5 linked regions of the Nothobranchius furzeri genome follow. The protein of the gene in region 2 purifies or fractionates together with the protein of the main gene of each other region. This does not show direct contact. Links are inferred from orthologs where the notes say so. Each region holds a gene or a part of one and is shown on either strand. Other genes may lie near its edges. The genes, in order: usp13, smc3, pds5b, cdca5 and wapla.

Region 1 (6,368 bases), on a different chromosome or scaffold from region 2:
ACTCACAGTCGGTTGAGCTCATGGAGTTATCTGAAAGAGAAAATGAAAAGTGGTTAGAGGCGACGTCGCACAGTTGATCTATAATCACTGGTGTTTTCTTTTTGTTTATGGAGGAGAGAGTAGACGGGGATTTTCTTTATGCAGGTGGGATTTAAAGATGTTTCCGGTGCCTCAAATCCACAAAGCTGTGAAACTGTAATCAGACATGAGGAGGACAGCGGAAGGGTTGCTGATAAACACACTGGTGTTTCATTGAATTCAAAATGCATAAGAGGATTAATCTTTTTGGTTTAATTCTACATTTTTTAATTAAGACCTGGTCTTTTAAAATTCTGGATGTGTTAGCATTCAGCATCTTTATCTAAAATAGTCTGTATTTCCATAGAGGTGAAATAAAAAGGATTTCCTGTTTTAACCAAATCAATTATGTTGAGTTAAGATGTAATTTATAATTACACACACGCGCGCACGCACACGCACACACACACACACACGGAACAACAAATTCATTAAAAACAAAAACAAACAAAAGCACTCAAGTCCATTATGCGTGTCCTGCCTCGGCTGTAGGTTTGAACTAAATTATCAAAAAAACATTATGACTCAATAATTAATGAGGTTAGATAAAGCTGGTTTAACTTTTTTTTCAGATTTAACTCTGGAGTAAAGAAAGCTGAAAAAAAAACATTTTTTCTTCAAACAGCCCAGAATGTGTGAGCAAATAGAAGATAAACAGACGGATGATTGATAATCGAACATATAGGTATGTTGGCGATGTAACCAATGAGAAGCACCGATGCCCTCTGACAGACTGGTAAGCAATGATTCATCCCTGCTAACGCATGGCGGGTCTTTGGTAACAAACAAAATACACAAGAAATATCAACAAAAATATTGAAAAACTGTTTTTTTTTTTACTCTGATTTCTTGTCCACTCAAAGGAAGCCTGATACAAACTACTTTTACTAAATGTATGATCGTGGACTGTCTTCTACAGTGGCCCTCCAGGAAAGCTGCAAAACAAAACAAAACTAAAGAGGCTCCAATTTCTAAACCAGACACCCAAAAGATAATTCAGTGAGTCTGAGAGGTCAGCAGCTACAACTCTGTCCTGAAATATTAAGACCCACTCAAACAAAGTAAGTCCAAATTTCTCTTCTTGTACTTTGAATCTCTAACACATAACTGCAGCTGCCTAAATCACTTTTTTTTAAATATCTCTCGTTTGTTGATGTCTGAAGCAGCAAATGCTGCTCTCAGATGTTCCCTCAGAACACTTTGAGCTCCACATCTGTTAAAATATTAAGACAACATGGATAAGCTGGTGTAGTGGAAGTTTCCAACAGATGGAGTTTGAGGAAATGAAATTATAAAAGACGCACAGGCCATCTGCTTGTATCAATCCAAGCACAATAAAGTATAAAAGCATGAATAATTGGTACAAAAATCAAGAGTATGTACGACCAAAGAACAGGAGCTGAAGGAAAACGCTGCCCTGTAACAAAGATAACAGAACTGTGACATTAAAGATGAGCGGACTAAAATGCCTCAAGTAATTAAAAGTGCAATTTTATATTTTCTTCTGAGTTCATGCATGAGCTGTTGTGCTGCTGTGAGCCACAGCTGGACATTAATGGGAGATTCCCGAAATAGGATTCAGAAAAAAAAACTAAAGTTTAAAATGCAAATGAACACAGATAGATATATTTTCATATTTAGATACTTAAAAACACCAAGACGACACTATGGATACACTAAAAAAAAATATATATATATATAACAATATATATTCTGATTTTGATAGATTTGATACCAGCAGCACATTTCTAAATCAGTTTTCTTTTTGGCTATACTAGCATACTAAAATGTTGCGTAGCAGCTAATGTGATTCTTCACTGGTCTCCTTCACTTACAGGGCATGATCTGACACATGCTCACTCTCACACACATTCCTATATTAAATTATTCCTGATGGAGGTCAGCATCGTACCTCTGGTGTCCTCAGGCAACACGATGGGAGGCAAAAGGTCAGGCAACTCCTCCTCTCCCGACTGCAGCCCTGTGGCTCGGAGCCGACTTAGATCCAGGAAGTCTGGAACGTCGATGGCCAAGTCTGCACCACAGATACAGGAGACGCTCAAAAAATACTAATATGGTGCAAAAGTCCATTTATCCCAGTAATTCAACTTAGACTGAGAGACCATCTAAAGGCTCAGGAACCCTTAGCAGGTGTTCTGGATTCATTTGCTGATTAGAGTGTGACACTTTGAGTCTAGAATATTGAACCTTTTCACGATATTCTAATTGTCTGGGATTTAAAATTTTGGGGATTTCATACTTTGCATGTGATGAGTCTATCTCATTAGTTTCACATTTTAAGTTGAATTACTGAAATTAATTCATATTTGCACCACATTCTAAATTTTGGAGATTCACTGGTAAAGTTAAAGTCCCATTAGTTGTCACACACACTGGTGTGTGTGAAATTTGCTCCCCGCATTACATCCAGATGTTAGAAATTATGGAAGCAGGGAACTTTCAGAAACTTTCTTTGGGTGGGATTATGTCGGCATCAACCTTCACCGGTGTTGACAGACATGAACGGGATGACAGATGTGTCTAAACAGCAGGGGATCCTTTTTCTCATTTTCTTGGGCAGAAAGTGTTCCTATGCCACCAGTGATGCAGTTTGATGGCACCCTCTGCTGGATGTTATCAGTGCTACAGACACTTAAAATCACTCTTGTATCAAACAAAAAAATTACCCAGCTTCTTCGGAACCCAGTCAACACCAAAGGTGAACTTCTTGATCTGCACAATCAGATACTCTGGGAACGAGGCAAATCGAGAGGTTCTGTGGAGAGATCATTTTGAAAGAGCCGATTAGAAATAAAGCTCATCAACGCAACAAAGGTAGGGAGAGTAGAAACTAACGATCGCTGATGCTTACTTGACTCCAGCTGACTTGGCCTGCAGCGCTGAGCTCCAGAAGTCGGGGACGTTTTCCGGCTCCGTGAAGGCCTGCAGACACGCCGTGAAAGGAATGCGTGCTCGCACAGGTTCTGGAGGAGCCCTCATGTTCTCCTCTGCTTCTTTCCGCTTGGCTTCGTAAGTCAGCAGCTCCTCTGGCAAAACAAAACTCATTAGATATGTAAAGATGAACATGCGTGTGAGAAGTAAACCTTCTAAAATGTTGAATAAAATATGGCAACATTAAATATAACTTATATAATATTATACATTTAGGCAGAAATGGAAAGTAATGAATTACATTTACTCACTTTCTGTAATTGAGTATCTTTTTGTGTGTGTGTGTGTGTGTGTGTATATATATATATATATATATATATATATATATATAATACATAAACACACACACACACACACACATATACCGGTACATACATACACACATGTATATATATATATATATATATATATATATATATATATATATATATACTTTATAAGTCGTTTTTAAAATCTGTACTTTATCTTTTACTTGAGTATGTTTTTTTAAAACAATTGCATTCAGCTACATTTCCAATCATATCTGTTACTGAGTAAAAAAATTATAGGCTAGCAACAGAATGAGAGACACCTGCATGAGCGCCATGTCTCAACCATGGGTGTGTGGGTGTACACCTTTTATAATGAAGACGTTAAACAGCCACTTCTCCCTCAGTTTTGTTTAAAAACATCAGTCCAGCCCCTGTGATGTAGTCGCTGTTTACCTCCTCTCTCCCTCCCTCTCCTGTGGGTTGAAACCCACACCTTTGTGCGCCGATGTCACATCATCAGTATTCTGCTCGGTTCGTTAGCTGGACTCGGTTCCATGTTTGAAATGTGCCCTCTCAATTGCTCCGCACGGCAGTGGCAAAATAACGTTCGGTGCTCATAACAAGCGGATTCTATCCCTGCCCTTTGCTCATAATGCAGAAGACCTGCAGGCCTCAGTGAGTTAAAACATCTGGAGCTGGAGCTAATTCAGTTGTAAACATTATGCTCCATCCCTCTGTGTGTGTGTGTGTGTGTGTGTGTGTGTGTGTGTGTGTGTGTGTGTGTGTGTGTGTGTGTGCGTGCGTGTGTGTGTGTGTGTGTGTGTGTGTGTGTGTGCGTGTGTGTGTGTGTGTGCGTGCGTGCGTGCGTGCGTGCGTGTGTGTGTGTGTGTGTTACACATACAGGACTGCATGAGACAGCATGCTTTCATCAAATCCAGGCATCTTATTTCATGGTTGAAGTAATGGCTCACAAAAATAACTTATTTCATAAATAATGATGTCTCAATAGCGTCTACGATAATAATTTATTATATATTGTGTTTGGTCTGGGAGGTGTAACGTATTGTGATACAAGCCTTTTAAATCATGTTTTAAAAAAGTGTGCTACAAGAAGAGATACATGCATGAATAAATATTTTAAGTTCATGTTTGGAGACCAACCTTCACAGTTTGGAGACTCGCGCTGTGTGGCGAGGAGACAGTTAGTTCTAGTAACACCTGGGCATCCAAGGCCTATTCTGACAGGATGGATGTTACGGGACGCTTAAGGATTCCATTTGGATGATTGGAGGATTATTGAGGAAGATTAGAATGAACAAACTGATTTCAGTGGTAAACGGTTAATTGAGTGCGTGAACCCACTACCAAGGATGAACTCTAAAAATCAGCTGCTCTAAATAAGCATGAAGGTCAGAGCGGAGCACTAGGATGGACACGGATAAAGGAACTGTAATGTAGAAGTAAAGTAGGGCAGGGCCATCGTTGAGGTTCATTTGAAATGTTTGATGTTCATTTGGCTTGTTAGATAATGTGACAGGTTAGAGCACAGTCTCATGTTAGAGGTTTGTCATGAAAACACTCAGATGCTTCACATACTGATGGCATCTGAAATAATCACATTTTTAGTCTGAATAAAGAATAATTTAAATCACAACTGAAACGTACAATCCTGGAAAAACCTCAACCAATCAATGTGCATGTTGAAATCCCTCCGTGTGTGTGTGTGTATGCGTGCGTGCGTGCGTGTTGTGAGCTCTCGTTTTGCACTACTTGGATGTAGCCATCCTTATGCTGACAATATCGTAACTAAGTAACTTTTACTTTGAGTACATTTTATTTACGATACTTTTTACTTTTAGTTAAGTAAAAATTAAGGCAAGTACTTTTACTTGTGTTGGAGTAAAAAAAAATGATCAAAGTATTGGAACTCGTACTTAAATAGGAAATGTTAGTACTCTTTCCACCTCTGACATTAGGTCGTGCCCTAAAAGGAGAAAAACATATCTGGCTTCATCACCAGCAGCTTAGCCTCCAGCGTCTGGACTCCTGTACCTCTATTGGTGGCTGCCTCGATGGGAGCTGGCAGCTGGATGCAGTAATCAACCCTCTGGGTGTAACGAACCCGGCGAGTCTGACAACACTGGACTCGCTCCTCCACCAGGAAACGAAAAACATCGCTGGGGTTTTCTGAGCCGGCACTGTTCCTCTGCAGAAATAACACTTCAAAGTTAAATTCACCTCTCAATACCAAGAAAGTTACACTTTATATAAAACAGACACATTAATCGTCGTCATGAGTCACTCTGTGTCTTCACGTCTTATATATAGGGAAGGGGGTCACCGAGGCTTTAGGGTGTATGAAAACCTGGTCAGCCTCTGCCTTTCTGCAACGCAGCTCTTCTATTCTGAGAAGCTACAGAAATACACAAGTTATAATTTCCCTCAGGCCCAGCTCGAGGGGCGACCAGCGGTGATGGTTTTAGTCGGGTCATCTATTAAATCAGCAGACAGCTGCTAGGGGCGATAAAAGGACAACAGTTGTTAAAAATGCATGTGTATCTGCAGATAATGGGACAGTTTAGATCATCTAGAGCTGTGAGAATATCTCAGGTGTGTGTTACTGTGCACAATATGAAAAATAGGAAGTATTAGGTTTCTACTTGGTGTGTGTGTGCCGCGGTCGAGGTAGAACAGGAAGCACTTTTCTCGCTGCTCTGTGCAACAGATAGCTGTGAACATTATAAATGCATCCAGGCTGGAGAGAGACGTTTCAAAGAACTTCATGTGTACAAACCAATCCAGGAGGCAGCGCCTCGTGTTTAATTAAAGCCAGAACCTTTTAAAAACTTGCATCATCGTGTTGGAGTTCTGAGGAACACACCATGCCGGGGATATAGACTCAATATTGTCGCGACTGCAATGAGTTAGGCAGGTGGGTTTGGTGCACAAGTATTACAACTACAATTCTAAAGGAGTTTCAAATGAATTAGACATAGCAAAATGTCAAAATATTAGCAATACTAAAGCTCTAATAAATAAGAAGTGATCTGTGTATGAACAATTGTTTGATGTTGTCAAGAGTCTGAG
Region 2 (6,368 bases):
GGCGGTGGGATTTCAGCTGTGGCGGGCCGCCACGGCTACGCCTATGTAAGGGAAACCCTGATGTGTGATGCCTCAAAAAGCGTCACCTGCTCAACTATTAAAACCACTAGCAGGGTGAAAAAAATCGAAATATTGTAGCACAGACGGGCTTCAACTTTTGGATCAATTTTATACAAACTGTTTTATTAATTATCTTCTGTTGAAAGATAACTTTGAGGCACATGAGCGACTGGTATTGGTTGCTGTCACCTGTTGTGATCGGTTAAAGCAGTTCTCTGCTGTCAGAGGGTAGGCCCCGCCCACAACGCTGCGGCTCCCAGTGTTTTCTTTACTGTGGGAAATGGGTAATAATGTCTCTTTGATGGGGAAAGGTTGCCGACCCCTGGTTTAGACGTTGCTGCTTGATAAAAAGTGTCTGTGTATCTTTTTCAGTCAAAAAGTGAGAATCCCCGTGTGATGACTTAGGATGTAAAATGAATCATCTCCATCAGCTTCACCGTCCATCCTTCTTGGCTTCTGTTTTTATGTACTCAGTTGGCTGAGCTCGGTGTCCATATGGCCTTGTGTTTAATGTCTGTGAGCACGTGTGAGTACAAAGACCATAATCAAAGGTTTTCTTGGCTCAGTCTGTGTATGAACTATGTTGGGTCACAGGCAGCCTGCTGGCTGGTGGTTGGATTAAGCCCACCTGGCCATGGCTGACCCAACACTCGCCAAAAGGCGCCAGGGCAAAAGGAAAGGCCGCTCTAGTTGTATGTTTGATCAACTTTGAAGTGGTTGATCCAGGAAAGGGGAAAAAATATATTTTTACTGGAGCAGGGTCGGTGTGGATGATATGGAAAATAATTATTTGTGTGTGTGCATGTGTGTGTGTGTGTGTGTGTGTGTGTGTGTGTGTGTGCGCGTGCACTTCTCCAAGCACAAATAATGCCCTTACTATAAAACATGCTCCTTTTTGCAGATAGGTGCACTTTCTTTCATGATTTTCTTGCAAAAACTAAATTAATCTAAATAAAATGTAGTTTTTCTTTGCTGGTCCATCAGTTATTTACCATCTATAAGCTCTCATTGACTCATTTCAAATGTTATTGGATGTGGAGGGAAGAGCAGTCTGCGGTGAGCGGGGCATTATGAGTGTATTCTAGTGATGCAGACAGCTTACACTTTACTAACTTGGCACATTACGCATCTTCTGTTTTGTTGGCCAAACATTTGCTAAAGCTCTCCTGTTCTTTCAGAAACGACTGCTGAAGGAGCGTCAGAAACTGCTGGAGAAAATTGAGGAGAAGCAAAAAGAGTTGCAGGAGACTGAACCCAAATTCAACATGGTGAAGGAAAAGGAGGAGCGCGGCATCTCCAGGTAGGGATGAGTCATTCTTATCTACACGGCACACTTGATGAGTCAGTCATCACACTGGAGCATCAGATTTGACTAATCTTCTGCAAAGTGTCCTGTTTTCATGTTTTAAATGCAAGTAATGCGATTTTTGTTTTAAGTGTTTTCACTTCAAAAGCTCAAACACAAGAATGTTCTTGTTTATTCATGTGTATAGTTCCATATCATACAGAATTAATTAGCTTAACTCTCAAGGATAAATATCCTGATTGGGAAGGATTGTTGCTGTCAAATGTCTATGAACAGCTTTGGATGTGGTTCTTCTCAGACTGGCTCAAGCTACACAAGAGAGGACCGACCTGTATGCTAAGCAGGGTCGTGGCAGTCAGTTCACCTCCAAGGAGGAGAGGGACAAGTGGATCAAGAAGGAGCTGAAGTCTCTGGACCAGGCCATCAATGACAAAAAAAGGCAGATCGCAGCCATCCACAAAGACCTGGAGGACACGGAGATGAACAAGGAGAAGAACCTTGAGCAGTACAATGTAAGACGACTCGACTGTTCCTGGATCATTTTGGTTCTAAAACACTAAACCAATCACCCTTTGTCCTACTTGTGCCTTTTAATCAGCTTCATGTAGCTTAAACAGACACCAAGATTGTTCATTTGTATTGATTCAAAATGCTAAAATATTCTCTAGTTTTTCTGGTTCAACTTTGTCTGACCCACTTTTTACTTGTGACTTCAGAAACTTGATCAAGATCTGAATGAGGTCAAAACCCGCGTCGAGGAGCTGGACAAAAAATATTACGAAGTGAAGAACAAAAAAGATGAACTCCAAAGCGAAAGAAAGTAAGTCACCTCATATTTACCTTAACGTCAGATTTTATAAATAACCGTCGTTGACTCGGTGTATGAGGCAGTTCCTGTCTACCTGAATTTCTCCTGTAAACCCGTGACTGAGAGTTTAAGAGCACATTTAAAGGGATATTCAACCCAAAAGTAAAATGTTGTCTGACATACTTAATACACAAGGGCATACATTTTTTCCTCAATTTACAAATAGGGTTGGGCATCGTTTGATTTTGAACGATTCCAATTCCAATTCCCCGTTTCGATTCCGGTTCCTATCGATTCCCGATTCCGATTCTTTCAAGACATTCCATGTTTTACATGAGCCAGCTAACCACAGGTCCTACTTGATGAAATAATCTTAACTTCAACATGAGTTTTAATTCTATGAACAATAACATCACCTTCATTTAGACAGAAACGTGTTTTGGAGGGAAGAAAAAGACTTGCAGCACAACCAGTGTGTTTGTTTCTGACCACAACCAAAGTCTGGAAGAAGCGTCTGGGATGAGAGGCTAAATGTCTCCAACGTGTCCAGGAACATCCAGCTGTTTTCCTACCTGCAGCAGCATTCAGTCAGAACAGAAAGTGAAACTTAAATGTAGCTGCTGTCAGTAACAATCTAACAGATTTTAAACATTAAAACGCAACAGAAATAGTTCAGAAAGGAAATAAATTTTTTTATTTATTATTATTATAATTATTTATTGTGGCAGAAGCTGGTGTGGTCCACCACAGAGAAGCTGCTCTAGCATGATGACTTATTCTACTGGTTATTGTTCAGCCTTCTGACGCTCACACACACACGCACACACACACACACACGAGTGTTGGTGAGCGGCTGCGTCTGACTGCTGACGCTCCGTGTGTGTTTTTATTTCTGCAGTGAGACAAACTCACCTCACACCGTCCAGAGTTTGTTCTTTAAAACTTCTATTAAATCCACCGTGTTGATGTATTTAACATGTTTCCTCTACGCTGCAGGAATTAAAGTTTACATTACGGAGTTAAAGTTCAGCAGATGCGTTTGTTTATATCTGGCCACTGGGTCGGGGGGGGGACTCGGTGCTGCACACAGACAGCTCGTGTGATCAGCTCTGCAAAGCGTTGATCACAATTTGCAGATCACGTTTATTTTTCACGGAGATCGGCCGCGGATTCCTCTTCCGTCTGCATTCTAGGAATAAACAAAAAACTTTGAACGATCCGGGAAAAATGAGCAGTTGGAACCTTGTGAGAATTTAGTCCTAAATTTAAAAATGAGAAACTTTTTTGTTAAAAGCATAATTTCCTTCTATCCTCTTTAAAAACCCATAAACATGACCCCCCAGGTTACAAGGAGTGAATATCAAGGCTCAACTCGGGCTTCTGCGCCTCTAGTGACATAAGCATAACAGGTTGCGACTGTCTGATTCTGTCCAGCTACCTGTGGCGTGAGGAGAACGCGGAGCAGCAGGCTTTGGCAGCCAAACGAGAGGACCTGGAAAAGAAGCAGCAGCTTCTTAGAGCGGCCACCGGCAAGGTCTGTGTCACTCTGCAGGACTGCGTGATTATCAACTTGCATAATGGAGCTACAGGATAACCAATACTTCCACCTGGGCAGCAGTGAGACATCTGCACTCCGAAAGCAAAGGAGCTTCCAGCTGATTGGACGCAATAACGAATGCATGGGACTTTACTTCATGCACAAATATCCCCTTTTTCATCGGGTGGAACTATCACATCAGGGTAGTTTTAGCATATAAAACTGAGTGTTTGAGTCCCAAGAGAAGAGCTTCGCTCTCCCTGCAAGCCCATCTGAATGCTGCAGACTCTTTGTGACTCACCCAGTTGTCAGAATAGGTAAATCAAATGGAATTCATCGGCCTCGCTACTTCCACCTTATGATAACTTGCTAAATTTACATATGACTCACTCCTTCCTGCCTCGTCAGGTCACTTCTTCTGGGCGCAGACATCAGTCATATATTGCCTTTGAATAACGTCTGCTGTGATGAAAACAGGCTGCTTGGACAAACGTGTGGTTGCTCTTCTCTTGTTGGTTCCATCTGATTCAGCCGATTTGCTGTTTGATGGACTCTATTTGCAGCTCATGGTTCATTTTAGTGCATCGTCGTATTGAGATTGACATTTCCTAATCTGATTTTGTTGTGATGTCACAATGGCTTCTTTTTAGATGTGCTTTGTGCTACTGGATGCTACTTTACTGTGGCTAACTTTAGCCGGATTCCTAGAAATGTGCTCTAATGGAATTAGGTTAATTGTTTTTATATTTTTCCCTTTAATATATATTTGGAATTTTTACCTTCTTTATTTCCCATCTCTAATGCAGGCTATTCTGAACGGTATTGACAGCATCAACAAAGTCCTGGAGCATTTTAGGCGGAAGGGGATTAACCAGCATGTCATCAACGGTTACCATGGCATCGTCATGAATAACTTTGAGTGTGAGCCTGCCTTTTACACGTGTGTGGAGGTGACCGCTGGAACTAGGTAAGAATCTGAACTTGGGAATGAATATCAACCCTGGAAATTAACAGTTATGCACATGAATATTTATTATGAATTTTTTCTTAATTGAGCGGCTAAAGGTTCATTAAATATTGTACCGCTTTATTTCTATAGCACATTAAAAAAAATAACAGCATGAGAGCTGACCAAAGTGTTGCACAGGTACATTCATTAAAAACAAACAGGACGGAGAAAACAATCCAAATAAAACCGTCAATAAAAGAGTCACTGGCCGAAGGCCAAGCCATTAAAGTAGGTCTTTAAACGAGGTGGAAACGCAGCCAGAGAGGGGGCCTGTCTAACTGTGATGGGTAGAGAATTCCAGAGCACATGAGCTGCAAACATAAATGCCCGTTCTCATTGTGACTTATAAGACATTTGGGGTTTGCAGAGTAGCAGGTCAGCACATCTCAAAGTGTGCACGGGTCACGTTAATGGTATCCGTCCATTCTTCCATTTTCATCCGCTTATCCGGAGTCCGGTCGCTGGGGCAGCAGCCTAAGTCGAGAGCCCCAGACTTCCCTCTCCCCAGCCACTTGGGCCAGACATAGTCCGTCCAACGTGTTAACGGAATATTTTTCATTTTTATCCGTATTTTTTTAAGGTGGTGACAGAAAACTCCAAGGGCCATGTGCTATTTTGACAGATCACAGTTCAGGTGAGACATGGGAAAAAATTCAGCAAGGCTACACAAGACTGAAAGCTCTGTGGCGTCACGCTCGCTAAAGCCTGGACCACACTGTGATTTTCGGCGGTCATGCAGGACTGCTCCTGGCGCGCTGTGAGAACTCTAGTGAGGCGGCACACTGAATGGCGTAAGATTTCAGTGAGACAAACTGCACGATGAGCTAACGTCACGAGCACCACCCCCAAAAAGTATGCGCCTCTAAAAACCGACAGCTAACCAAAACAGTAATGCTGAAAAAAGCGTTGCAGTTACACTTCTTTTATTAGACTCTGAACCAAACTCCAAAAAGGAGTGGTCCGCATGTTCCTGTCTGAATCTTCCATTGTTGCTAATGTTAACTCTACTTTCGTATTCTCGTCACTCGTTGTTCGTGTTTCTCCCTGGGTGTGTTTTCATTGGTCGATTGCAGACGGGAGTTTGAGATTTTCGCAGAGTCGGTCACACTGGACGGCCACAGACTTGCAAATCACTCTCCCGTTCGCCGTTTTTGTGTCAATTCTGTTCACGACGAGCGATTTGGCAAGGATGGCTGAAGACGCTGTGTGTTCCAGGCATTAAGCTGACATGAGACATTTTCAACTTGACGGACAGAGTTCATGATGGCAGTAATTAAATGAATCAGAAATCGTAGCATCATCACTGATCTGGACACGTCCAACTATCCGGGAGCCGAAGGTATGACGGGTGGACACCAAGTCCTGGAACGCGTCCGAGGTCACAGACCGGGGGAACTCCCAGTTTCACTTTCTGATGTTTAAACTTTGGCTGAAGTGGAATCTTTGTTTTGCTTGTTTGGACTGAATATTATTGAGATGAATAAAATGCTACTGAATATTTCACTTTCAATAATCTTCCAAATTCAGGTGACGTGTAAAATAATAGATTATGATAGAATTATTTTAATCAAAATGACGAGCAAGGAAAAGTCCTCTGCTCCACGGTAAGAAATGACGAGAGTAGTAACTTGTATCGTGTTACAAATGT
Region 3 (7,096 bases), on a different chromosome or scaffold from region 2:
AGAAGAATATTTTGTGAGCTTTGAAGTCTTCTTCCAGAAATGAAGGAGCATTAAACATGAAGAAAACCACTAAATCTGCCCATGTGGTAACAGCTATGCTGAGGGAATAAAGATTTTGCGGTGACACACAATATCTAATTTGTTGTCTTACTAATTAACTAAATTACTAAAAGTCTTACTAAGCTTGTTTATCACAATTTGTGTGACAGACATTGCTGAAATCATTATATTCCATTTAAATTTAAGTATAAAATGTGTGATTCAGGGTGTAAGGCAAAGCAGATTAGAAAATAATTTTTATACATTCCCTTCCATTACATTTTTCTTTGTTCCGAGGACCCATGGACCAACTGGAGAGGTGGGGGACTTGAGCTCCTGATGGTCTGTCTAGATTTCTAGGCTAGGGTTATGCTCTTATTGTAAAGTGCCTAAATGCTTCAGTGTTTAATAGTTAACTCATCCACTTACAAACATAATACAACGGGGTTCAGGTAAAGCGTTAATGATTGAGGAAGGCCGGAGCAAATTCAGTAAGGAGTGCTAACAAAGTGAACCAAAGTTTCGACATTGAAGCTACTATCAGAGTTGATTATTGAAAGCGATTATAGCCCACTTGGCAATACAATGTTTTTATTTTTTACAGTGTATTCCTAACACGCCCTGTATCAGAGACCGACTCACCTGGAAGTTGGAGTCCTTGTTGGAGCGGTGGAAAGTGGTCTTCTGGTCCCTTTCAAAGTCCTCGCCACTGTGATCCGTTTCTGCTTCAGACTGGTCTTGCTCTGAAGCTTCAGCCTCTTCTTTTTCACAGTCGTCGCTGAGACTTTTCATGAAAGCCCTGCGGTCGAACACCGGCGAATAGATGGACACGGGTCTCCGGAAGCGCAGGTTGCTCACCGGCGGCGTGTGGGGCTTCGTCTTTTCCTCCGGTTTGACCTGACCAGGACTCTCGAGGTGCTCGTCGACCAGCAGCGTTTTGGGACCCAAGGAACACTGGACTATTTTATCCACTTTGGCGTTCACCTGCACGCCGCACTCTTTGGTGTTTTCCTTTCTGGCTGGGGGAGGAGGGTGTGCGCCGGGACTGACTTGGGACAGGATGGTCTTGCAGAGCTCCAGGTAGCTGAGGCCCGGAGGGATCATGAAGCGGCCCTCTCTCTTCCCCCAGCTGCTGCCCTGAGCCGGGGGAGCGCACACCGGGTTCCCATAGGCGTTATAGGGCGGAAACGTGTGCAGGAACCCCTCCATCCTAGAGCCAAGAAACCGATCCAAGCACCTCCTTTTAGAATTTATGCAGTTACCATCAAGCCACTTTAATTGGTTAATTGACACCCAGGTGTGCAGGTTCTAATTAAACACACAAAATACATAATTTAGTAATTATTTAACAATAATTTCAGATATATTTTTTTAAATTATATGTCTCTGATGTTCATTGGTAACCTTTAAACTTTTTGCAGCTTTTACAAAATCTGTGTAATTCTGACATAAGTAATTAAAAATTTTCAAAAGGATGTAGGTTCATACATTCATTTTCTGAACCCGCTTGCCCTTGTGGGGTCGCCGGGGGAGGGGGTGGGAATCTCCAGCGGGCAATCGGCAATCAGGCGGGGTACACCCTGGACAGAGAGCCAGTCCATCGCAGGGCAACACAGAGACACATAGGGCAAACAATCATGCACACACACACACACTCACACCTGGGGCAATTTAGACAGACCAATTAACCTAACAGTCATGTTTTTGGACTGTGGGAGGAAGCCGGAGTACCCGGAGAGAACCCACGCGTGCACATGGAGAACATTCAAACTCCATGCAGAAAGATCCCAGGCCGGGAAGCGAACCCAGGACATTCTCGCTGCAAGGCAACAGCTCTAACCACTGCGCAGCCTCGATTTAGGCTCAAATGTCTGTAAATCAGAAACGTTGTATTGGAGCGCCCCCTATAGTTCACACTGTCCATAAAACTATGAAAAAGACAAAACCATCTGTAAAACACCTTCCATTTGACACAATGAAAATATGTTGGAAAATGAATCTCTGTAGAATATTCTAAATTAATTTTTATTAAATTAAAATCAATAACAAAACATATGTTTATTATAATAGAAGTAGCCAATAAACTTATGAAAAGGAAAACAAATGTTACAGGATGCATAAAGGGTTATTTTTAAAATGTGATTTTAGAAAATAACCAGTAGCAACATATATATTGCACCAATGAAAACATGTGTTTGTTTTCCGAAGCTATATTTATTCAAAAGAATAATAATAAAAAACTTTGGTTCAACTAAATGATAAACAACCCGCACTTATAGCGCCTCTCACAGTAAGGACTTCAAAGCGCTTTACACTACAGTTCATCCATTCACACACTGGTGGGGATGAGCAACAATGTAGCCACAGCTGCCCTGGGGCGCACTGACAGAGGCGAGGCAAACTACTATGGTTTATTAGTGTATTTATACACAATCTTTTGTGCAATTTTAGGTTTTCGCTCATCTTTGCGCTCCTGAAAAATAAACAGATTGATGAAAAATATAATAAACTATTGAACATTTTAGGAAACTATGTATTCTTATTTAAATAATGTGCAGTTGCTTTTATTCAATAAAATATTTCATCATTTTTACACACCCAAACACTAAACAAGGTAAGGTTTGAGTTGTTTATAAAACCATTCATAAACAGTTTTATTTTACAAAAATCTGAATTCAAACATGATGTAAGCAGAACGACTTGCGTGGACTCGTCTATAGGTGGCGCTGCTCACTCACGGATGGGTTGTACCCATGGGCTCTGAATCTATGCATGTTGGCGCCATTTTGGAGCTAGGAGGGGAAAGAGAGCTGCAGAGGAGGACACGATTTATCACTATTCATCGGTAACAGGTAAGAAAAGGCACCAACAAGCACACCCGTTGTTTTAAACTGGCAGGATCTCCTATCGCTCCTGCGAATAAATCGGTATGTGTTGGGATTTTCCCGTAGAGACGTTTGGTTCCAAACGGTTAAAAAGGCGGAGCGCAGCCCGCCTCGGTCGCTTGTGTTCTCGGCTGCTTTGCTCGATCCACCGCGCTGCTCAACCTGGTTCTGCGGCGCAAAAACGCGGTTGACCAGTACAATATAAGCTCGTTGGTTAGGCTCGGTGACTCTAGTGGAATGAACAGGCAGTGACGAGACTTGTGGTGTGGCTCGGCTCGGGGTTGTAGGAACCATGTAACGGTTGTTATCCGGGCTGTTTTGTTCCATGCAACGTTGCCATCTGTCCGCCCTCTGTCACTGAGATTGCTGCTGCTAATGCTACCTTGAGCATGCTAACCCCGGCTAGCTGAGTTAGCCACCGTCAGTCAAGCATTATACTGACCGTACTTCTTTAAATGCTGCGGTGGTGAATCAGTATTCTCCATTCATTCATAATGTTCGCTTGTCTATTCGTAACCTGTCGCTCACAAATAACCTTAAATTAGGCTAAATCTCATGTTAGCATCATTTTTAGATATGACGATGCTGACGATGTAGTACGGTGCATTTTTGTCTTTTCTAGTTAAACTGGCGTCCTAAATGGTTGTTGGACAGCGTGATGTTTATCCTTTAGTAATCGTGAAAGCGATTCACTTTCTGCATGTTCGGTTTATCTCAATTTAAAGCTGGTTTTGCTCACGCTTACTTTTTAGTGATCTGACCCGATATGGATTGTTATTGAGTTGTGTGGTGATGCTTGGAGAAATCACCACGAAAAGATGACATTAGTAATCAAATTAGTGCATTATAATATACTAAAAGTCGCTTACAGCTTTGTGTGTTTTTGACTGCTAATCATCAACGTTATAGGTTTGTCAGTGATTCACGGGAGGGAAAACACTCTGTGGGTAATGGGATAATACGGCCATGACACATTATTTTGATTACATAAAAACCACCGTAAACTAGAGTGAGTATACAGATCTACTGCAAAGAGAATGTCATGTTTTTTTATGTGTAACTTACACCATTTGATTTGCTATTAGATGTTGTCAAATACCATATAACCACAGCTTCAAAAAATGTTTTGGAGGCAATTTTTTATTTAGAGCTGCCTATTTATCCTTACTTTACATTCTGAATGGGGAAAAAAGTGCAATTACTGCCACTATTTCCTATTTGTCTGTTGTGATCTGACTGTGTTGAATGCACAATTCTGTCAGTCCACTTATATGTAGATGAAGCACAGTAACAGTGCTTATGTGCTACTCTACAATTAAATAAAATGTAACTACAAGATGTGAGGAGTCATTTTGCTATAGCTGTTATTGGTCTTGCATGTTTTCCACGTGTCTCCATCTATTTTTAATAACAGTATATATATATATATGCGTGTGTGTATAGGTTTTTTTTAATTAAGCATTCAGTGATTCAGTAGAGTTGTAGGTTAATTCTATTTTATTTATGGCCACATGATCACATGTGTATAAACGTGGGACTGATGTTAACCTTTCCTCTCTGGCTCGTGGTTGTTTAGGACAGCCTTCACATGTTTAGATTGGGGGGTTGCACCTTCTTGAAAATAAACCTTGAAAATAATTTCAGCTTGGTTTGATTTCAAGAAAATACAATCTCTTTAACAGTGCTAGCTAGTTTTCTTTCGTGTTGAGAGTGCCCAAACAGAGGTCGTTAAGTTCACCCTTGCAGCCAGCTGGTGTCCACTCTTCCTTCTTGTTGTTGGCTCTTACCCACTCCCCAAAGATCATCCCTGGAGTTCGAACCGAAGGGCGGATCTGTCGTTGTTCAGATTAGGAACTGAGAATTTCTTTGGATCTTCAAAGTTGTGCTTGAAGCTGTGTTTAAAGGACCAGAATTGGCAGAGCAGAAGCAGTGGGATAGAAACCCTCCACAGGGAGGTAAATGTGTTTAACTGTGATAAACCAGTAATGAGCTCAAAGCAGCCCATGGACAAGCTGTAGTGTGGGGTAGAGCTAGCCCCCTTGTTATTATTTACTACTGCTTTTGTGGAATGTTGCCTGATGGATGGTAACACACACATGAGTTTGGGAAATAGCCTGCCATGATTGGCTGATCGCTCTCCTTGTGTCAGTGTCGTACAGCGATGGAGGGACGGCCTCAAATTTGGCAGCAGCTGTGGGGTGGAAAAGAAGGTCAGAACCAAACGATCTGGCAACCTGCCAATGTTGAGTGTGTTTGTTCTTTGTGTTTGTGTGTTTGCTGCAGCTTGAACGATGCTACAGAAAACTGTCATGATGCGTGAATACATTTATAATGCAGGCTTTAAATTTGACAACTCATTTCTTCTTAAGTAGATAAATAAACATTAAACAAAGTGAAAACACAGTCTGACCTGTACAGTGCCTAAATTCAGGTTTGTTTTCAGTGTTAAATCATTTGTAGTGGTCTTTGTACCAGACAAAAGGGAGAACAGTTAGCAAGAACAAAGGCTGAACAATTTATTGCAGCAACAATTATGTTGTCTTTTCAGAAAACAGTTTTTGATAGTTTGTGGTCATGTGATGGATTCTCGTGTGTGTGTGTGTGTGTGTGTGTGTTTATCACAGACTGGTGATTATTATTTTATATATGTACTACTGATATGATTGCTGGGGGTAAACTATTATTTTTAAAACTATTATTCTGACGATTATTTTATCGAATAGTCGACTATTCTAATGACTATTTAGACAATTAATCTAATGATTATTTTTCTATTGCACAGTTAATAAAAACCAAAAAATCTAATAAATTCCTCAAAAAACTGATAAATTGTTACTGTAAGAGAATAAACACTACAGGCCTTCCATTTTGTATAACACTGCTTTTATTGTGTTGGTTGGTTATGTTCTGGTGATGTGTAGAACTTGGGAGTGCAGGCTGCTGCCTGAGAGGTGGTTGGAGACAGAGTGTCTCTATGCTGCTTTGTTTTGGTCACTTATGTGCGTGAAGTGAGTGGTGTTACAACCCTTCCTGGGGAGTTTGGCTTGTGTGCAAAAATGAAGGGAAAATAACACGGGATTTAAAAGTTAAAATGATGATCAGGTTTATTTACAACTACAAAAAAAAATCTTTCCATCCACAGGTTGGGAGTAATAAAACTAATTCTGCCTGTGGGGAATTAAAACAAAAGTACAAATAAGTTGGGATGTCCCACTGGGCAAAGACTACAGGGTTCTAGACCAAAATAAGGATCTCCAAAGGTCCAAACTCTAAACTGGGCAGTTAAACCAAACTCAAGGTGATATTTTAAACTAAACCGAAACCCCACAACACTCTAAATGTAATAAAAGGAAGATCTATGCCACAAAAAGATTAACTCTAAACCAAAACGTAACAGCTTATCTAAATGCGAGAAGCTATTAGTGAAAATGCTAACAGTAGCTTTACCAACGTTAAGTTCAAGTTACCAAGTTTAAATAAACCAAAAATACCTACCAAACAGACCAGCACGGAGGAGAGACTGCTACCACAAAAACAGCTCTCCTAATGTCTGAAAGAAGCTCCTTTATGAAGGGAGGAACGCTCCCGGTGATTTTCTACATCTACGATAGAGACGAAGCAGCGCATCTGAACCCTGAAGTTGTTGTCCTTTGCCGGGAGATGAAGGCAGGCAAAACAGGAAAGGAATCTAGTATCGGACGGACATTGTTCCGGGTCTTCGGTATTTGGTGGAGATGTTAGTGAAGGCGGAGAAGATGGTGAACTAAAGGAAAAACAGACAGATTAAACCTCTATTTACAAACTCCTGGGGATGCAACAAGTGGGCGTGGTGCATCGACTACCGGATCTGACATCGACAAATTTTTAGAATCGAGCCGTCCATGTTATCGAGGCTTCGCTACAGCCCTAGATATGATACTGATTAGTGTTGTCAAAAAAATCAATACCCAGATACCGTAAATCCTCTAATACAGGCCCGGGCCTGTATTTGACTCAAGCTCATCAAGCTCCAGGCCTTTATTGGAAGGAGGACCAGAATTGGAGGCAGGCCTCAATTTCTATTTGAGCAAAATGAACTAATGGTTCGCTGAAGTTTTTGACAATTAAAAGTGCGCCCACATTTTCAAAGTTAAACACATTTCTTTTAACAGCGGTAGTTTCTGCTTCAGCCC
Region 4 (5,777 bases), on a different chromosome or scaffold from region 2:
GAGCTAACACTAAACTCCCTACCCGCTGAGCTAAAACTAAACTCCCTACCCGCTGAGCTAAAACTAAACTCCCTACCCGCTGAGCTAAAACTAAACTCCCTACCCGCTGAGCTAAAACTAAACTCCCTACCCGCTGAGAGTATGTTTCTAACAAAGGACTCAAAAAAAGGCTAAAGTCTAAAGAACAATGTCCACATGAATAGTTTTAAACTCGTTTAATCTGCTGTTTAAAGAGCAAGTCACCCCCCCACAAGAAACTTACTTCACTCCCACTTCATGTTTGAAAAATGCAACACATGCTGTTGCCTAGCAGACCGAGAGGGTGGAGCCGCCAACAAATACACACACACTCAGGCTCACAATGGCATTGTGACATCATAATGTACCAGTTTACATCATAGCATACCTCTTAGCCAATAGCGGTGGCAGATTTAAATTCAAATGCAGTGCAGTTTTTACCTGACGATGGCACAACACTGCCAGTTTTAGGTAGAATATTTAAATTTTAACTAAGATGCACTGAAGTGCCAAATTATTGACGACACGTGTCTGCAGCACGATTAGACACTCGTTTATTTAGTTTATCAGCAAAAAAAGTTGATTTGGGGGTGACTTGCTCTTTAAGTAGCCTTTTATTTTTAGAAAATGTTTGTAATTTTAATTGTTTTTCTTTGATTTGATTATTTAAATGTGTTCTACCTTTTACAAAAGGTGTCTGTGGACAAGTGCTGCAAATTAGCATTCATGCTAACACACTGAAACCATGCATCTGGTTTGTCTGATGTAATTGCTGTCCATATCACACACACACGGTGTTTTAGGGTTTGAATCTTGTCTTTAGCTTCAGCCTCTGTTAACCGAGGTCAGCTGTTGGTTTCTACCTAAATTCATTCATTCATAGTAAAGCGCTGGATTAAGTCCTCTGAACGGACCAGGTGTTCACTGAGAGACACAATGATGTGAATTACAGTAAATGTGTTATCTACATTCACCCTTTCATCAGTACCAGGGTTGTTTATATTTAAATTAATGCTGTCAGGTAAAGTGCTGATGTCATGGAGTGTGTGACCAATCGTGTGTTCTGGTCTGAAGTTTGGTTTTAAACACAGTAAATGTGTGATCATGGTCAATGTTGTTGTTTGTGTTTAACACTAACCCAGACTAACTGTAGCCCAGATTAACTATAACCCAGGTTAACTGTAGCCCAGACTAACTATAACCCAGGTTAACTGTAGCCCAGACTAACTATAACCCAGGTTAACTGTAGCCCAGACTAACTATAACCCAGGTTAACTGTAGCCCAGATTAACTATAACCCAGGTTAACTGTAGCCCAGATTAACTCTAATCTGAAGTGACGTGTGAACAGGTCAACAGGCAGGGTGCTTGCTTCAGTGTGGGTTTATTAGGAAGCAGAAAGGAAAACTGACAGGAAAACCTGGAAAAGTCCAACAAAAAACTCCACAAAGCCAGAAAAGCAGCTTTAACCTGAAGTCAGTTCAACTCTGTCAGCAGAGACGTTCTGGTTCTGGTTCGGTTCTACTGGGCTCGTGTTGTTTCTCTGGTTTATTCAGTAAAGAATACTGCATCAGAACCGGTCTGGGATCTGATCAGAACCGCTTAACCAGAACAAAGTCCGTTTTGATTTATCCAGAACTCTCAAGCTACAGAGCCGACACAGGAAGTCCAAATGGACCGAACCATGATGGTGTAGAGAAAAAAACCTTCACGAGCTACATATACAATCCATCAAGAGTCCCGGACGTATTTACACCCCCACCACCCCTCCAGTCAAAGATCCATACGCTGGTTCTGGTGGGTTCGGTTCTACTCCACCACCAACTCGAACTCCTCGGCCTCCCGGAACTCCGCGTTCATCTGAGCGGCCAGATGGTCCAGCTCGGCCGAGTCAATCTGCGGCACCTTCCGCCTCCTCCTCCGCTCCTTTGACACCGACACTCCGGGGATGTTCGGGTCCGGTTCAGCAAAGCCCTCGTCGGTCGATTCAGTGAAAGACGTGATGGGTCCAGAAACTTCCAGAGCGTCCCTGGTCTGCTTGGACTTCCGGACAACCTCCGGGGTCCTCAGCCTCTCGAAGCCGAATAACGTTTCTCTGGAGTCGGGGCTACTGTGGAGGGAACTGTCGCTGAGCCTGCTATAGGACCGGCGGGCTTTCTGCGCACACACGCCGGCCTCTGGTTCAGCAGCCGGCTGCTGGGTCCGACAGGAGTCCGGTGGGGAGGACGGGAGGATCCGTGAGGGCATGGGCGCCTGCTGCTTCTTCCTCGCGGCGGAGGAGGAGGCCCTGCGGTCCGGGCCGGGATCGGGGGTTGAGACTTTGGTCTTCAGCTGCTGTACCTGCTCGGAGTGCCTCGGCGTGTTCTCCTTGTTGTGTTTAGACGAAGCGCTCGTTTTTCTGGGCGCTATTTTCCGCACGGTGATGGAGCGTTTAATTCCCAGCGCCATCTTCTCACCTCCCAGCGGAGCTTGCGGAGAACTGAACCGCGGCGAGCGTCTTCGCTGCGGCCCGAGAGGACCGTTAGCTCCCGCCATCGCCCCATGAGGCGAGCCTTCGTCCATGCTGAAATCTGCCCACTAACAGCGAATTATTCACTCGGTTTCGATTGAATCTCCTCCGGTTGCTCAAACAACGGCGCCACTTTCGAAATTACCCGCTCGAGTCGCACGGTGATGACGACAACATCATCGTGACTCTAACAAGCCGCGCCAGTGGAAGAGCAAAGTTTTTGCTGTGTAATCCGGACGCTTGACGCTCATACTTGACTGCTGTCTCACCTGATTTTCACCGTTATTCCGTGTTGGTTCGGTTGGAGACGATGGAATATTTAATCGGTATACAGGGACCGGATTTCGTTCTCGTCGCAGCCGATAATGTGGCCGCCAGCAGCATCATTCAGATGAAACACGGTGTGTTAGCTACCTAGCTTAGCATTAGCTCTTCTCTCATTTGATTCTGTTTCTGTTTGTCAGACGCGTGTCTGCGTATAAGTCTTTATATTTTAGGATTTGCTGTTTCATTCTAACGCATTAATGACCATTTGTCACATTTTATTTGCCAAAGGAGATTAAAAAGTAAGACAATAAAGCCATTACCGGCCAATGAGAGGTACGATGAGCCTTTTAGAAATCAAACTTAGCTTCTGAGTTTAGTTCTGAGCTTTAGGATGTTTATATGCTTTATTCTAGCCTGCTAAATCTCGTGGTGAGCGACCCCGGCGGTGAAAGTGAAAGTCCGGTTGTGTTCAACAGAAACCAAATCAAACTGGTTCTGATCTAAAACAGTGCACATGTGTTACTGATCGTTGTTTAAAGTTAGATGTAAATGAATCTGATCTGAAGGGATGCTTCAGTCCAACCTCCTGGTTCTTTTTCAAAGTGATGTTTTCTCATCACTCGCCTGAATCCGGACCTGGTTTCTGTTTTTGGGGCGACTGGTGCTGACATCTGGCTTTTTTCAGAGGATGACTTTCACACTGAGTTTTGTTCTTTGGTGTCTCAGATTATGACAAAATGTTCAAGCTGAGTGAAAAGATCCTGCTGCTGTGTGTCGGAGAGGCCGGAGACACGGTGCAGTTCGCGGAGTACATCCAGAAGAACGTTCAGCTGTACAAGATGAGAAATGGTATGATGTGGTTGTGGCGCTCTTCCTTAGTTTCACCGTTTGTCACCAACAATTACTGATGCTTGTTTCCTGGTTTTAGGTTATGAACTCAGTCCAACAGCAGCAGCAAACTTCACACGGAAGAACCTTGCAGATTATCTCCGGAGCAGGGTTGGTATTCTGCACCACCGCTTTAAACAACTGTAATTATAATAATCTGTAAAAGTACGATTTTTACCGCTGGGGTGAAAATCCCGGTTTTTCTTGACTCCAGCGATGAGTCGGCTAAACCGCTGGCTGTTGAACCAGGTTTCTGTCCATGTTTTAGAAACGGCATGTTGCCCAGCGCTGCGCTAGTAGGAGGAAGCTGAAAACTTTGTGTGACATGTTTTCAGCAGTAAATCCTGTTGGATTGGGACTTGTTGTTGATGACCTGTTTTAGCCGACCAACGGTGTAACATTTACTTGTTTTCTATTGACCCTTTGCACCAACGCCACCTAATCACGTGAGTCGACCATATTGGTCTGCAAAAGCACGTGAACAGTGAGCGACACGAGTACTAAACAAGGGGAAATGTGGAGCCTGAAATTGTGTTTCATTGTAGTTGTTTGTTGCCACATTTAGCGTTCCTTCTACTGGTCCAAGCCCAGTTTGGTTACAGAAGAAGTGGCGCACCTGGGTGGGGCTCAGCGAGAGTGGCCTTTACTAAAGCTCCGTGTTAACCGCTTACAGACGTTAGCTGAAGTTCCGTCTGCGGCCGTTAGCCGGTGGAAACAAGGTGCAGACTTTGCCGAAACTCACCTAGCTGGCTTCATAACTGTTTAAAACGTCGTTTCACTTTACACTTTAAGAAGTCCGGATCCTGCTGGTGGTGGTGTCACGGTTCAGCCGCTGCTCTCACACCGGGTTCACACAAGGTATCACTCAACAGTGACGCTCGCACTAAAGAAACTAATGTTAACACGTCATCTAACGTTGGAGCAGTAATATTGTAAATAATCATCTACAGTGGACAGTACCACACGTCCTCCATGGTGAAGTGTCCATCCATAGTAAACACATCACATCTGTCCCCGTCTTCCTCATTGGCCGACACTGGCAGAGTTCGCCCCGCTGGATTTATAACGCCGTGTGATAAAAAGCAACGTTCCGCTGCTGTTTCTTACCAGTATCAGCTGATGGAGGGCTTTAGTTGTGTTGCGCCGTTCGTGTCAGCGGACACGGTAGGGGCGGGGCCTGACGCTTAGCCTGGCGGGCCGCCGGGCTTCTAAAGCGCTGGGGGAACCCTGCGTTCTTTCATAATCTGTTGTGGAATTGTGGACGGCAGACGCTTTTCCGCTTCGCGCCTCACTTTTTTTACAGGAACGGCCCAAAACGATCTCCTGACACAAGGATTTTCTGCTTCTTGATCACGTGACGTATGCGGATGAAGATCGGCTTTAGAGCTGAGATGTTTGTTCTCTCGGCGCGGGGGCTCGTCCGACGCCCACACACTAAAAACATGCATATGACGTCTTTAGTCGTCAGTGGCAGTGAACGAGTTAATACAAATGCTGCAGTCAGGCGGAGCTAGGCACCTAAAACCAAACATGACTTGTTCACAAGAGGCATGGTGGCCAGGTTGAAGCGCTTCATCTTCCAATCATAACTCAGGAGATAGCAGGAGACACCAAGGCACGCCTCTGTAGCACGGCTGCTCCAGTCAGGGACCATGACAGCTCTGAGGGTCTGCTTTAGCGTGAAGATAGAAGATATTAAAGTTAGTTTATTTACCAGATTAATAATTCAGTTATGTCTAATAAAGGATGTAAGCTTTAACACCAAGAAAATGTTTTATTCTTTAAAAATAGTTTCTTGTTGTTCAGTCATACCTTTTAATTCGATCATGTATTATATTCTAATGTTAATTTTATTTGTGTCCAGAGACACACACACACACACACACACACACACACACACACACACACACACACACCTTAAAAGTTGTCTAATTCTTCTTTTCCATCATGGTGGTGAAGTGGGATCAGCCAGGTAGGTAGTTGTCATGGTAACCTGGGTTAAACTGCTCGATCATCTCTGAAACCTTGACGCCGACCGTGGACAGGAGTCTGGTGACCACCATGCTCACAGTGACCTCGGTCAGGACTAGGGCTGG
Region 5 (6,368 bases), on a different chromosome or scaffold from region 2:
TCGGTTTCAGTGATCGTACATGTGAGCAGTACACGACAGAGGCTTTTAGGAGGTTCAGGTGCATAATCACAAGTAAATGACAACAGCAGAATAAATAAACAGATTTTAAAAAGCAGACATTATGATGAATGGGAAGGATGAGTCACTAAGTCGATTAGCTATCATCATTAGTCATGTCTCCTGATCCACAGATTTAAACGCAGCTTAAACACTCGTGTCCAGCATGCAAGCTGATCTATTAAATTATGACTCATAGTAAAACGCAACAGCATTTAACCAGGGGAGGGCTTTGTGTTTACAGAAAGGAAAAAAATATTAAATTAAATACATCTTTAAAGAATTTTCCATTACAAATAAGAAAAAAAAACACTCTGGAAATCTGGAGCAATTCATCCCACATAGTATGAAGTTAAAAAGCATTTCATAATTATTCCATGGAATTATTTTAAATTTAAATAACCTGCAGCTACGATCAGAATATGGGTGACGAGGAAGCAGAAATCATGAGAATTTTTTAAGCTGTTCATCAATCGGAAGATGGTCGAGCTGTCCCGACTCCTTTAACAGCAGTCGTTTTTAAAAGGATTTAGGGAAAAACCTAAAAACGTAATAAACTGAATCTAAAAACACTCTTGGGCACAAAAACCAAAGCTTAAAATCTCCTTTCCCTTAAACATTCAGTCTATCTGAGAACACGAATAAATGTCTGCATTCAACATCGTCCCACGCCGACCTCCATACAGACATGAAAATGATTGATTTCCCTGCTGATCAATTATTTCACCCTTGGCTTGGACGTAGATAGGCAGAGAATAAAATGTAATGATCCATAAAATCTGATTCAAAGCCTCACACTCCAACTACACGGCCAGAAATCACCACCTGACAGGGAGCAGGAGTCTCCTCTTCTGTGGCCCTTTTCTCTCCCTCGCTGCTTTGAGGCCAATACACTCGACGTTCCTTGGATTCCCGAGAAGCTTGCGGGATTATTTAGCCTAGCTTTTGCACACAATTCCTGTCTGAGGGTGAATCTGATTCAGACTTAATGTTGGTTGAATAAAAGTGAGGAAATGTACACGTCTGTCAGTTAGCAGGGCTTTGGTTCAGGCTGTGCTCCAGAAAGAGACTGAAGCGTGTGTGTGCGTGTGTGTGTGCGCGTGTGTGTGTGCGTGTGTGTGTGTGTGTGTGTGTGTGTGTGTGTATCAGTGAGTGATCACAGGTTTGTGTGATCATGCGAAGACGAGGAAGTGCAACTCCCATGGCCCCTTGTTGCTGCTGTTTGTGGGGGCGGGGGCGACCAGGGCAGGCTGGGATCCCTTTAAATGTGCAGAGTTCGCCGTGGTTCACTGTGTGTTAACAGTGCTCCAGGTATTCAATGACCCGTGAGATGGACTTCTGTCCTGTGGTGCCCATTGCACACTGCATGTGGAGGAACAAGAGGGAAACACAGGGAGGAGAGTGTGAGAGATAATATGTACATCTGTGCTGCTGGGATCTCCAGCAACAGGCCGTAAAGAATTTTAAGCTTCTGTTCAAAGACGATTTTTATGACGCAGAAGGGTCCAGTCATCGGACGTGACGGGGCGAATCCTATTTAAAGCTGCTGCTAAAAGCACATCTATGACTGCAAAAGTGCTCAACATTAATCCTTCCAATTAGCGATTTTTCCTGAATTACAAAGTTTGAACACACAAACTGTAACCATTGGATGACAAAGTTATTGATCACACTTCTATTAAAATCATTCAAACCTTTTCAGTGGCCTAGTGGTGAAGTGTCCGCCATGGGAATGGGAGATCGGGGTTCAAAACCCGGTGGGGTCATACCAAAGACATAAAAATGGGACAACGCCTCCCTGCATGATGCTCAGCTTTAAGGGGCTGGATTGGGGGGTAACACCACCAAATAGTTCCAGCCACATCTGCAGCGCACCGCTCCCCATGAGGACGGGTCAAATGTTGAGTGGTAATTTCATCCGTGTGACGATGACTAATGAGACTTTCACTTCAACTATAAAAGCCACAAGAAGCAGTTTGGGGAGGCTAAAGAAGCTACCGTATTTTCACGACCACAGGGCGCACCTAAAAGTCTTAAATTTTCTCCAAAATGTACGCCGCGCCCTATGGTGCGGTGTGCCTATTGTGTTGTTGTGATACGCGAACTTAGTAGAAGACAAGGGGCGTGGCGTGAACGTGCGGACGCGAGCGAAGACAGACCTGTGGATTTGCCACATCGTCATCAACATCCTCGCTGTTTGCCTCAGACTCCGGCTGTGAGTCCGTCCACTTCCTCTGCTTCCAGTTCAAAAAACAGCCGTACTATCTGAACTGCCTGGTGGACATTTATCCTTCTCATCATCCTTTATTAAAGCCTAATAAAAGCCTACTAAACTGCAGAGACAATGTATCTGTCCGGATCGCTCCAAAATATGAAGTTTACCATCAATATCTGTCTAAATGTTTGTTGTTACTCGGGTCGCCCCACTCCTTTCCCCGCCAAGCGGCTCCTTTTTGCGCACATCTCGTTACTCGTGCAGCCTTCCTCTCTCTCTCAGCTACATGATGATACTTTTTATCAATTTAATATGTGAGACTTCCACCAACAGCAAAAGGATCTCATGTTTTTGTGGGTTTTTTATGTTCACAAGCACATTCCCTCTCATGGATTACTAAACTACTGTTTTGACAAGTTATCAGATTGTCTAAAAATAGGTCGTTTTTTAGTTTAGTATAATGGGCTCGACACACGGAAGGCGACATCGCTTCTCCTCCATTCATTTTCAGTGAGACATGCGCGCTGCCGCGGATCGCCTCCCGTGTGTCGAGCCCACAACTCCGCTTTTACGTTGCCTATTAACAACATTTAAAAACTGGGGTGTAGTTATTATCTCCTTTTTAAAGCTGAATTGAAACCGAAACTAAGGGGGCGGAGTCTTGCTGCTACAGCGTCCCAAATCAGACCTGTTCAAAAGATGTGGACCCCAGAGGGTTAATAAAACACAATTCAAATCACACTATTTTCTTAGGCCTATTAATAACACACCTTTGATTTTGTTCATGTGGAAAGTTTATGTGGTAAATCCACCAACTACCGGTAAACACATTCTGAACTTCAACACAGCGCATCAGCGCTTGAAGCGGCGCTGCGAGCGGCTGCGACCCAAAAGTACCAGAACCGCTCACGGCGCATGCGCAATCCTGCATCAACACCGTTCGCCCGCTATTTCCCTAATAACACACGCTGTTCGCTTTTATGTCTACACGTTTTTTTTCTCACAAAGATTGTCAAGAAAGCGTGTTTGTCATGTTCATGTCAAATTAAACTGATCACAAAACACAGATTTACTTTTTTTATTTCGTTTTCCTCATCCAACCCCCATAAATCCCTGTGTGTCCTCCTGCAGCACTCCTGGTGTACGCCCGGCTTTAGTAGGAGAGAGACCCGCGATTATCGCTTTGTCGCGCATGTCTCATTGAAAATGAATGGAGGGGAGGCGAAGTTACCTCCCGTGTGTCGAGCCCATTAGAAGAGCACGAGCCGTCAGCGCACGCAATGAGGAAGTGCACGTGCGCTCTAAACCAGGTCTGAACCAGGCAGGACTAGACCAGTAAAGTGAAGCATGCTTTTGGCTGTTTATAATTTTCACAATGTCTGGTTTGCACTGATATGTTCCGAGTCCCGAGCCCGCACAAATGTTTTACCGGTACGTTTTACCGTGCCCATGCCCGCGCCCTGTAACCCGGTGCGCCTTATGTATGTGTTAAATACCAAAAAGACACCAGTAACTGAAGTTGCGCCCTATAACACGGTGCGTCATGAAAATACGGTAATAAGATATTAAAGTTACAATGTGTAGTTTTTACCATTTATCTGTGGAAATTTCCATCGAAATGCTGTTGAAAATTTAATGATGCCCAGTTGATAAATATTGGCGGCTTCGTAACATGTAACCATAAAAGTCGGGTCTAAAATACATGTGAGCGGGTCTAAACCCTAGTTTATGCTTCTGCGTCAGCTCCACGAGGAGATGCACAGAGACTTCTCCATCTCCTGGGGAGTGTTGCAAAGCAATTCCCCGACAGGACAACAGAGGGCGTAGCGCTGATCTGTGGTATCCTGATATGTATCCGAGATATCCACAATAGTGCATTTACTATTGTGTTTGTATTGTGTTGTGCTGACAGTTTCGGCATCACTCAGTCGCCACCATCAGAGCTTTGCAGGGGTTGGTGGCATTAACTCGGCTGTTTATCTGCGGGCAGTGGGGCACAATGTCACTAAACTCTGATGATGGCGACTGTGTGGCGCTGAAACTGTCAACAAAGTAAAAACCAGTAATCTTTGCTACTCTGTGTAAATAAGAACAAAAACAAACTATGGAACTAGAGGAGCATGGCTTCAAAAATATTTTTGTTTTCAGAAGCAGACATAATTCAAACACTGGACAACTTTATTGTACAACCTTGCTGATCATACTCACAGTGAGGTTCATGAAACTCAAAAACTTCTTCAGCATTTCTGTCATGATGGAGAAATCCCCTTTAGGTAGGTGCTCTCTCACAGTAGTCACGTTGTCCTGAGAAGGAAAAAGGCAAAAACAAATATTGTTAAAGAGAAGATAATATCTTTTTGTAGTGCGTGTGTGTGTGTGTGTGTGTGTGTGTGTGTGTGTGTGTGTGTGTGTGTGTAACTCACCTGGCTGCCCTGACAAATGCAGCCTAGTAACAGAGCGGTGTAGGAGGCCACGATGCTGTCCTCCATATGCTTGCCTGCGTGCTGCAGAGCTACAGACAACACAAGGGGAAAATAATTCATTCTCTATTACAATTATCTAAAAATCTAATAAAATCTGATGCCAAATGTCAACGTCCTAATAACGGTTTTTAACAACTCGATAATATCCTGTAGTTTAGTCGACGTCAATTCGAATTACTGTGATTTACTCTTCATCTCTAAATAGAGAGAAAATGTAGCAGAGACAATAATCCATGTTTAAGTGCATTGGTGACAAACTAACAAAAAACAGCCTCTCTCTCTCACACACACACACACACACACACACACACACACACACACACACACACACACACACACACACACACACACACACACACACACACACACACCTTTATTTAGGTCCAACTCTTCATCCTCCTCTTCTTTATTTTCAGGTTGGCTGTCGTTGGTCTCAGACACCACCCACTGGATCTCTCCGGACGTCTCCTGCCACTCTCCACTTTGGTCCAGGGCCGGCTTGGGAGCCTCACTGATGAGGTCGTCCGTCTTCGCCTCGGCCAGGATGGCAGCACGTTCCCTCTCAAGGAAGAGCTACGATTTAGGGAAAAGGCAACAACAGCTGTGATCTCTGGAAAGGAACCACAGCTGGAGCTTCATATTTCAACATAAGTGATTTTCATAATTTAATCTTTAAATTATTCATTTAAAAATCAATTCAACAAAAACAAGCAGACCTTCCTGCTCAGTATTCAGGCAGCTAGAAGAACATGACTACATCCTTGTGAATTTACTGAATCTTGTTTTGTTTTTTAATAGTATGAAGGAGTTTAAAACGGAGAGCCTCCCTGACAAAAAACAGCTTATTTAACCCGTGCAGGCACTGATCACAACCGGCCACTTTAGTCCTGACAGCATGAAATCTCCCCTCCTTCAGGGACAACTAGAAGGAATATGTTGTACCTTCACCAGGGCAGCCAAAACTCCAGAAGACTTGGGCGTGTCAGCACCATCTCCCTGGGCCTCGGCTGGCTGTGTCGCTTCCTCAGATTGTGTTAGCTCAGCAGATTGCATCAGGCTGTCTTCCAAACAAGCGTCATCCACGATGTACTCCATCTCCACCAGACAGTGGCGGTTTCTGGAGCTGTACTCCACGAGGTTAATCAGAAGCCCCAAACCCTGATGTAAACAACAGTAAAGTAGTGGATTAGTAGAAGATTGTGTTCATGCTGGATTGTTTTTCTAAAGTGAACCTCACCAATACTCGCACGTCAAAGCGCTGCTCCTGGGGGATGTAGCGTGGGACTCGAAGGACGCAGTTGAGAGCGGTGGCTGTTAGCTGCTCCTGCTCACCTGTTTTGGTGCTTCCCCACTCTGTGGGCAACAAATATGATCACAACGGTTCACCCTGAATCTCGACAATGCAAAGAAATTCCGACAACAACCAGAAGCAGAAAATAAAAATGGAATAAATGTTTGTGATTTTAAATTTTAAAAAGACACCGTTGTCGTGGGTGAGGTTGAGCAGCACCCCGATGACAGCCCTCATACAGTCTTCCACAGCCTTTCCCACGTTGCTGAAGCTACAGTGTGGCAGCGTTGCAGCCGCCGATGACACGGAGCTGTTGTTTAAC

The links.
Region 1: the proteins of smc3 (region 2) and usp13 purify together in Homo sapiens (affinity purification with mass spectrometry; 4 studies listed by BioGRID and IntAct, with this or other methods). This does not show direct contact. The link is inferred for Nothobranchius furzeri from reciprocal best matches to the Homo sapiens genes SMC3 and USP13.
Region 3: the proteins of smc3 (region 2) and pds5b purify together in Homo sapiens (co-immunoprecipitation; 7 studies listed by BioGRID and IntAct, with this or other methods). This does not show direct contact. The link is inferred for Nothobranchius furzeri from reciprocal best matches to the Homo sapiens genes SMC3 and PDS5B.
Region 4: the proteins of smc3 (region 2) and cdca5 purify together in Homo sapiens (affinity purification with mass spectrometry; 7 studies listed by BioGRID and IntAct, counting the BioPlex papers as one, with this or other methods). This does not show direct contact. The link is inferred for Nothobranchius furzeri from reciprocal best matches to the Homo sapiens genes SMC3 and CDCA5.
Region 5: the proteins of smc3 (region 2) and wapla purify together in Homo sapiens (affinity purification with mass spectrometry; 7 studies listed by BioGRID and IntAct, with this or other methods). This does not show direct contact. The link is inferred for Nothobranchius furzeri from reciprocal best matches to the Homo sapiens genes SMC3 and WAPL.

What each region holds. Positions count from the first base shown.
Region 1 is NC_091748.1:59,218,123-59,224,490, forward strand, and holds part of usp13 (ubiquitin carboxyl-terminal hydrolase 13), read right to left. Parts: intron 5,488-6,368; coding exon 5,334-5,487; intron 3,126-5,333; coding exon 2,951-3,125; intron 2,855-2,950; coding exon 2,766-2,854; intron 2,114-2,765; coding exon 1,991-2,113; intron 31-1,990; coding exon 7-30; intron 1-6. UniProt on the Homo sapiens protein: Deubiquitinase that mediates deubiquitination of target proteins such as BECN1, MITF, SKP2 and USP10 and is involved in various processes such as autophagy, endoplasmic reticulum-associated degradation (ERAD), cell cycle progression or DNA damage response.
Region 2 is NC_091744.1:4,678,265-4,684,632, reverse strand, and holds part of smc3 (structural maintenance of chromosomes protein 3), read left to right. Parts: intron 1-1,238; coding exon 1,239-1,360; intron 1,361-1,664; coding exon 1,665-1,878; intron 1,879-2,082; coding exon 2,083-2,186; intron 2,187-3,608; coding exon 3,609-3,708; intron 3,709-4,517; coding exon 4,518-4,678; intron 4,679-6,368. UniProt on the Homo sapiens protein: Central component of cohesin, a complex required for chromosome cohesion during the cell cycle. The cohesin complex may form a large proteinaceous ring within which sister chromatids can be trapped.
Region 3 is NC_091750.1:62,005,213-62,012,308, reverse strand, and holds the start of pds5b (sister chromatid cohesion protein PDS5 homolog B), read left to right. Parts: upstream 1-2,783; 5' UTR 2,784-2,891; intron 2,892-7,096. Other genes in the region: zar1l (protein ZAR1-like), read right to left, coding at 682-1,248. UniProt on the Homo sapiens protein: Regulator of sister chromatid cohesion in mitosis which may stabilize cohesin complex association with chromatin. May couple sister chromatid cohesion during mitosis to DNA replication.
Region 4 is NC_091759.1:26,796,290-26,802,066, forward strand, and holds cdca5 (sororin), read right to left. Parts: upstream 2,580-5,777; coding exon 1,827-2,579; 3' UTR 1,385-1,826; downstream 1-1,384. UniProt on the Homo sapiens protein: Regulator of sister chromatid cohesion in mitosis stabilizing cohesin complex association with chromatin. May antagonize the action of WAPL which stimulates cohesin dissociation from chromatin.
Region 5 is NC_091752.1:29,594,400-29,600,767, reverse strand, and holds the end of wapla (wings apart-like protein homolog), read right to left. Parts: coding exon 6,238-6,368; intron 6,109-6,237; coding exon 5,993-6,108; intron 5,914-5,992; coding exon 5,698-5,913; intron 5,329-5,697; coding exon 5,127-5,328; intron 4,785-5,126; coding exon 4,696-4,784; intron 4,577-4,695; coding exon 4,481-4,576; intron 1,420-4,480; coding exon 1,354-1,419; 3' UTR 1,158-1,353; downstream 1-1,157. UniProt on the Homo sapiens protein: Regulator of sister chromatid cohesion in mitosis which negatively regulates cohesin association with chromatin. Involved in both sister chromatid cohesion during interphase and sister-chromatid resolution during early stages of mitosis.